2 linked regions of the Coturnix japonica genome follow. The main gene of each other region encodes a partner of the protein of the gene in region 2 in a complex. Links are inferred from orthologs where the notes say so. Each region holds a gene or a part of one and is shown on either strand. Other genes may lie near its edges.

Region 1 (3,747 bases), on a different chromosome or scaffold from region 2:
CCCTCAGTTTTCCACATGACAACAGGAAAGCTACTTTAAGGTCATCAGCATAAAAAAAGTGACACTTAATAACAACTGGAAAATGGCCACATTGTTTTACTGGGAAGGCCAGCAGTGCATATTACTGCCCAGCCAGAGCACTGAACTCCAGGCTTTATCCCCACACCACAAGCAGGGCAGGGCAGGGCAGCAGGCTGCGCCTCATGTTGGGGCAGCACAGCTCCCATGATCTCTGCTACGGGCTACCAGACAGCAGTGTGAAAGCATTTACCACCCATTTCAGTAGTACTCTTCTTATTCAGAATCTTCAGGATGTCTTTGGTAATCTTCTTCAGCTGATGTCTTGCTTCATCACGCTCCTTGCCAACGCCGTAGAGAAGAATCATGCGCTGGTTACACTCATGACTTGAAGATTCATCCTGAAAAAAGCAGCAGTGAAGTCTCTCATCACTGTTCTGCCATGGCTTGCAGAAGCCCAGCAGCCCAGGCTGCAGCGAGCAATAACAAATGTTTCATTGCAAAAAGCATCTCCAGCTGTTATGGCCGTGGAGGAAACAGCACCAAGTGAAACTGCCAGGTTCAGAACACAGGGAACACATGCCAGCTGGTACCACACATCCCTATGGATCTACAAAGACAGCCAGGAGATGCACACCATGCCCATCCCCATCTCCGTGGCAGGCAGTGCTAAGCACGCAGAGCACAAGTCCAGCAGCTGCTCCTCACTTCTCTCACCGTGTACAACCCCACCAACAAGAAGATGCCGTCCAACACTTAAGACTGTATTTTTTATAAATCCCAAAGAAACTGAAACACATACAGTTTACTGAAACTCTAAGCAGTTACATTTAGTCTTCTACTACCACGTATCACACAGAGCTGATGCCAAATACCTAACTTTAAAACTAAGAACTGCTCAGCAAGTGATAAAAGGTGTGAATCTTTCTTACAAAATCTTACAAAATAAGATCACCTCCTCCAATCACTGCTTCTCTTTACACAATGAGACCACCCACAGTTTTCAAGCAAGGAGGGCCGTGTAGAAAATTAATAATAAATGACTCCACACAAACCACAAGGCACAGAGACGGGAGCACAACTCTGCACTCAGGAAAGTTGCACCAGCTTACGAAATATGCGATACAATCTCTTTTAAAAATAGCAGCTCTATTTGTAGGTCGAAAGCAGGAAGTAAACCTCTAATTATTTAGAAAACTCTATTTCTCTCTGTGTGTTCTGAAGGAAACAAAAGCAGAAGCGCTGATGGCGTCACCTGGGATCAGCAACTGTCCCCCCCTGGCTAAGGAGCCAGACCCAGCTCACCAGCGGCCCCGGCACAGCAGCAGCCCCAGCACAGCAGCAGCTACAGCCTCCCCCAGCTCCGGGCACGCACAGAGAGCTGCTGCTGCACCAGGAACCGCAGTGACACCAGTGCCACCGCAGAGAACAGCCCAGCACAGCAGCGCTGCTTGGCAGCACGCAACGGTAACCCTCTCTCTGATTTCTGCTTTTCTTCTGATCTTGCATACCTGGGAAATCCTTGCTCTGTTAGGACTGGATGTGGCAGCTGGATCTGCCACACACTTCAGGGCAGAAGCAGATTCCAATATGCCTCTCAAACCCTTATAGACAGAAAAGAAGCTTGGCAGCTCTGTGAGGGCCGTGTCGGGATGCTCAGGTGCTGGCTGACCTTGCTTACAAAGACAGAGCTGCTCCTGAAAGTGGCCCCTCTGAGGTCATGCAGTGCCCACCTGCCTCTCACACTGGGCACAGCACGGCCCTGCCAGCTCCAGGGCTGCCGATGGCTGCAGCGCCTGCAGTGCCACATTGCTCCATGCCATGGGGTCGGTCAGTGCTTTCTGCAGCACCACATTGGATGGAACAGCTGATTTAGAAAAGTGACAGGAGAAACTAGTTGTGATGCTGTAAATTAATTCCTACACAAGTAAAGCTACAAAAGCCTTCACAGACCACGCTGGCAAACCTGCACCCGCTGCAGTAACACAGCGATGTCTGAGTGCTGGCATCTCAGCTGCGGGGCACCTAGAAGCCTCTCCTTTGGGCAAAACCATGCTGGGAGCCTGCAGGGCAAGCAGCCACCCCTGTGTCTGGAGGACGTGTGGCAGGAGTGGCAGAGGTATCTGAGAGCAGGGCTGGGGTGCAGGCAGCCAGAGCAACAGAAACAAGGAGGGGCACTGAACTACTTTCACATCATCTTCACTCTGTCAAATCTGCAGCCAAAAGGAGTTCTGCTGCTACCTCTTCTCCACATTAAGGATGTGGAAAACAATGTTTGCCCTTTCTCCTTGTGAGCAGAGGATGCAGCTCAGGCAGTTGCTGCCACAGCCCCCACACAGCCAAGTACTGGCAGCCCCACAGCCCATCACAGTGCCAGGATCCTGCTCATCCTGCCCCACACCTCCACACAGCCCCTGCTAGGCCAGGACCCAACAGAGCAGAACAGCAGCTCCCCTCGGTCTGCCTCCTGGTGTGGCCATGCCCAGCACTGCCTGCTCCGACTCGCCATCCTGAGAGGAAAGCAATGCAGGTGGCAAAGTCCAACAGAAAGGCTCACTGCATAAAAATGAAAAATAGACTAAGAAGGCTGAAATCATAAAAGACAGAACATCCAGCTTCACTTCTTTACTTTTCTTCTTTTGTTGTTTTTGTTTTTTACAAGGAGGGTGGAAAAGACGAAATGCAAACAAAAGCCACAAGCAACTTCAGCCACTCTATCAATGGCAGCAACTGCACCAGCGATAACAGAATCAGACATGTCATCTTCCCTTTGCTTTACACCCTTCTCTTCCTGGTGGGTCTCACTATGAATGGCCTGGCAACGTGGATCTTCTTCAAAATATCAAGTAAATCCAATTTCATCATCTTCCTCAAGAATACTGTCATATCTGACATCCTCATGATTCTGACTTTTCCATTTAAAATCCTCAGTGATGCACAGTTGGTACCGTGGGCACTGAGAGGGTTTGTGTGCCAGGTCAGCCAGGTCATATTTTACTTCACCATGTACATCAGCATCTTGTTTCTTGGGCTGATAACCATTGATCGCTATCAGAAAGCCACCTCGCCATTCAGAACATCGACCACAAGGAGCCTCCTAGGTGCCAAGATGCTTTCCATGGCAATTTGGATATCGATGTTTACTCTTTCATTACCCAACATGATTCTATCGAACAAGAAAAAAACTCCTGAGAACGTAAAGAAGTGTGCTCTCCTGAAATCTGAGTTTGGCTTAGTCTGGCATGAAACTGTAAACTACATCTGCCAGTTTATCTTCTGGGTTAATTTAATGGTCATAGTTGTATGCTACATACTTATAAGCAAAGAACTGTATAAATCCTACCAGAGGACCAGGTGCACGGGAAGACCATCAAAAAAGTCTGTAAATCTGAAGGTTTTTATAATAATCGCAGTGTTCTTCATTTGTTTTGTGCCATTCCACTTTACCAGAATTCCCTACACTTTGAGCCAAACAAGAAATGTTTTTGACTGTTCTGCAATGAACACCCTGTTTTACTTAAAGGAGAGCACGCTGTGGCTGACATCACTAAACGCTTGCCTAGATCCATTCATTTACTTTTTCCTTTGCAAGTCGTTTCGAAAGTCCTTGCTGGGCATGCTGTGCAAGCACTCCACATCACCAGAACTGTCAGCTCAAACAGCGGCGCTGGATGAAAGAGACGACACTGAGGATACCCCGGTTTAGCACAAAGAACCACCCACACCCCT
Region 2 (3,747 bases):
GGGTGTGTGGGGCTGACAGTTGGAGGGTTTGGGCTGGGCGTACTTTGGGCTGGGCACAGCCCTCTCCACACCCCCGCTGGCTTTCCGAGCTGGACAAAGCTATTCCTGTGCCTTTTTCCAGGAAAGAAGGGAGCGTTCTCCTCTCTTTCTGGCCTTGAAATCCCAGGGATGCCACATCTCTCCTGGTGTGGCTCACAGGCCCCGTCAGGTTTCCCTTAGAACCATCACCCCTGTTAAAGCCCTGCACCTCCCTGCAACCCCATGTCACCAAAGGGCTGCAGCAGAGCGTGGGGTGGGGAGCAGGGAGGAAGGAAAACCCGCGGGTGCGTGAGGCAGCGCCGGAGCTGAAAGCAGCAGCCGGTGCCTCCCTTCCTCTGCTGCTGAGCACACAGACGGAGCCACAGAGCCCAGCGCCCCCACCCTGCGACGGAACCATCCCAACAACGGGGCTGAAACTGCACCCTCAGCACTGAGCACAGCGTGCCCCAAAGAGCCCCCCACTGCAAACCCAGCCATGTGCCCTGCAACCAGCTTTGTTTGAGGGCAACATCTGCATCTGGGGCTTCCCAAACGCTTTCTAAGGCAGAGATCCCCAAGAGCGAAGCCAAGGAATCTCTCTTCTTCCTTAATGCCAAGCAGGCGGTGTGGTTTAGGGCTGTTAGCACTGTGTCCACAAAGCCCACGGGGCAGCTGCGGAGCATCAAGGAGCGCATCCCAAATGCATCCAGCTTTAGGGGATGGTGGGGGGTCTCCTCTCTGTGCTGCTGCCCACAGGTCCTGCGCCCACCGACAGCCCCTGGGGCTGCTCCATCAAACCGACACAACAGCCAGAAAGGGAGAAACTCGGGGAGGTGGGCGCAGAGCAGCAGGACGGGCGGGCAGCCCCCATCCCCCAAACACCAACAGCACTTTCAGCAGCAGCACAGAGGATTCTGCAGGACCACGGTTTCACTTCCGCCTGGAGCAGGGCAGCAGCTGGGGGCTGTGCTGTGCTCTGTGCTGTGCTCTGTGCTGTGCTGTGCTGTGCTCTGTGCTGTGCTCTGTGCTGTGCTCTGTGCTGTGCTGTGCTCTGTGCTGTGCTCTGTGCTGTGCTGTGCTCTGTGCTGTGCTCTGGGGATGCGGATGCAGCTGGGGGGGTTCCAGGACAAGCTGAGGGGCTCCAAGCACCGTATGGGGACCCACCAGGAGCCATCCCAGTGGGCTCTCAAGTCCTTTCCAGACACATTTCGGTTTAGAAAGCAGCACCGAGAGCTCAGGGCCTTCGATACTGTTTACACTTGAACAGCTGCTGAGGCAGGGGAAGGAATCAAAAAGACTAAAAAATGGAGCTGTTTCGCTCTATTTTTGGCTTTAGAAACCCACCGAGATCAGTAACCGGAGCCTCACCCTGCAACAAGGAGCACAACCACGCTGCTCCCAGCCCCGCATCGCTGCGCCCCATCCCGAGATGGGGAACCCTACGGCCTGGAGCCGAACGCATCCCTCCGAGCGAGGCCGAGCCCACGGCAGCCCCAGCAGCGGGGTCTCAGCCCCACGCGCCCGCCCCAAAACGCCGCGGGGTTCCGTCCCGAGCTGCCGGTGCTCCCGGTGCTCCCGGTGCTCTCTCCCGTTCCCCTCGCACCGATAACCCGACCCCCACGGCCCGGCCCCACCGCCGCACCCCGCCGTGGGGAAGCACCGTCGCGCTCCGCCCTTCTCCGCTCATTCCGCGCTCGTCGAGGCGGACGGTGTTGGAGCGGATCGGCCGCTGCCTGATTGCACCACGACTTCCTGCTGCTCTCGGCTTCCTCTCTTGAAGGAGGCGACGAGAAAAGACATTTTGTGCCGGCGTTTCCCCCCGACGGCAGCGGGGGGGGGCGAGGGGGGAAAGGAGGGATGCTCCTCCCGATCCCATCCAGCGCCCCGGGGCTGCATTAAGGGACCCCCATCCCCAGAGATAACAGCGAGATGGGAGAAAATAAACGCTGCGTTTCGGGCCGGAGCGGGGGGGGGCGGCTCCAAACAGCAACAGAAACAGCGAGGGGAGGGATGGGGGGATGGAGGGATGGAGGGATGGGGGGATGGGGGGATGCCCGCGGGTTCTGCATCCCACCCGGGGCCTTTGCGATGGGGACCCGGGGGCGTGGCTGACCCCGCAGCACCTCGGGTGGGAGGGCGGGGGGTTGAGAAGGGAACCCCCGGGGATGCGGGGGGTCGGCGGGGAGCTGGAAGTTGAGGGTTGTCCCAAAAGAGGGTGGGAAATCACGGGTGGGGGAATCGCGCCGGAGCCGCCCGAGGGACGGCGATGGAGGGGGGTGCGGGATGTAGCGGGGGGGACGGATGCCCGGGGGGCGGCGGCCACGCTCACCCAGCAGCAGCAGCTTCACCTCCCTGGCCGCCTTCTCGCCGTCCTCCCGCAGGTTGCGGTCGATCATGCGGGAGCGCTCGGCGGCCGCCTTGTCCTCGGCGCTCACCGTGCAGCCCATGGCGGCGCCCCTCGCTCCGCGCTCTGCCGGCACTGCCCTGCCCTGCGCGGCGCGGGCGGGGCGGGGAGGGGCCTGTGGGGAGGGCGGGGGTTCCGTCGGGGGGCGTGGAGAGAGGAAAGGGAAGGGGACGGGCTGGGTGCGCTGGGTTGGGCTGTGATGCGATGTGATGTGATGCAGTGCGGACAGATGTGGGCTGCGCCATCGGTGATCCCCGGCACAGATGTGCACAGGACCACGTTCATTCCGCAGGACAGATGTGGGGCAGGCCGTGCTGTGAGCAGGACAGATGTGGGGCAGGCCGTGCTGTGAGCAGGACAGATGTGCAGTGAGTAGCTGTGGGTCCTTTCAGGGCAGGCATGATGCACAGCGCCACGTGCCCCACAGCAGACATGCCCAGGGCACGGGGTGTCGGTGGTGGCGGTGCAATGGGACGCGCTGTGACCCAGACTCTCCTTCTCCATCCCCACCGTGGCTCATTCTGCCACATCTCACGGCTTCACAGCACGGAGCCACCCCCGGCGTCCCCGCTCCGCTCGCCAGGCTGAGCTCCCCATTGCACCCCGTTTCCCAGAGCCGTGAATCCCAAACCCCGCTTTGTCGCCGTTCTTGCTGGCGCTGTGTCCCCACTCCCAGCCCCAGCATCGTACTCGGGCCTCCCCGGACACCCGTCCGTGCTGTCCCCGCGGTCCCCCCCCCCCCGCCCCACACCGGGCACGTCTCACATTTGTATCCTTTATTATTACTTTAACGGATCCGCTCGGTCGCGCTCCTCCTGCACGGCGCTCATCCCCACATATAATTTAACAGCGCGGCGGGGTGGGGGGGCCGTGGGTGCGGGGACACCGGGGTGACACGACGAGCACCGCCCCGATCCCGCACACGGTTCGGAGCTCCCGAGAGCCGCGCGACACATTAAAAAAGAACTACTCTTATATACAGTATTTATAAAAAGCATCCCAGCCTCCACCACCCCCATATAAAAATAGGTCTCTTATTTACTTGGCGAGCCCCCGGCCCCCCCTCACCGCCTGCTCGCATCCCCCGCGGCCTGGCCCTTGGCGTGGCTGGGAGCTGCCCATGGCATGGACGGACAGACGGGTGGGTGGTGGGAGGACTGCGGGGCCGAGTGGTGCCCATCACCCTGGTGTCAGGGAGCATCCCACAGCCCGAGCTGTGCCGCCCCACGTACCTCCGTGCCCCACACCAGCACCCATGTGGTGCACCCACCCCAATGCCGGCAGCACCCGGCCCTGGCACGTGTCACCTTCCCCGAGCTGGCCCC

The links. The genes of interacting proteins can lie anywhere in the genome.
Region 1: the proteins of GNAI2 (region 2) and P2RY12 are in contact, whole or in part, in a cryo-EM structure (PDB 7XXI), measured with the Homo sapiens proteins. The link is inferred for Coturnix japonica from reciprocal best matches to the Homo sapiens genes GNAI2 and P2RY12. Residues at the interface, in NP_002061.1 of Homo sapiens: Arg24, Glu28, Ala31, Arg32, Leu195, Glu319, Ile320, Tyr321, Phe335, Phe337, Asp338, Ala339, Thr341, Asp342, Ile344, Ile345, Lys346, Asn348, Leu349, Lys350, Asp351, Cys352, Gly353, Leu354, Phe355; in NP_073625.1 of Homo sapiens: Phe59, Asp121, Arg122, Lys125, Thr126, Pro129, Phe130, Thr132, Asn134, Pro135, Ile212, Leu216, Ser219, Tyr220, Arg222, Thr223, Arg224, Val234, Lys237, Ile241, Leu301, Cys302, Lys303.

Annotation. Positions count from the first base shown.
Region 1 is NC_029524.1:20,910,570-20,914,316, forward strand, and holds the start of P2RY12 (P2Y purinoceptor 12), read left to right. Parts: upstream 1-1,156; 5' UTR 1,157-1,263; coding exon 1,264-1,485; intron 1,486-2,680; coding exon 2,681-3,724; 3' UTR 3,725-3,747. Other genes in the region: MED12L (mediator of RNA polymerase II transcription subunit 12-like protein), read right to left, coding at 272-419. UniProt on the Homo sapiens protein: Receptor for ADP and ATP coupled to G-proteins that inhibit the adenylyl cyclase second messenger system. Not activated by UDP and UTP. Required for normal platelet aggregation and blood coagulation.
Region 2 is NC_029527.1:2,015,790-2,019,536, forward strand, and holds the start of GNAI2 (guanine nucleotide-binding protein G(i) subunit alpha-2), read right to left. Parts: upstream 2,539-3,747; 5' UTR 2,466-2,538; coding exon 2,348-2,465; intron 1-2,347. UniProt on the Homo sapiens protein: Guanine nucleotide-binding proteins (G proteins) are involved as modulators or transducers in various transmembrane signaling systems.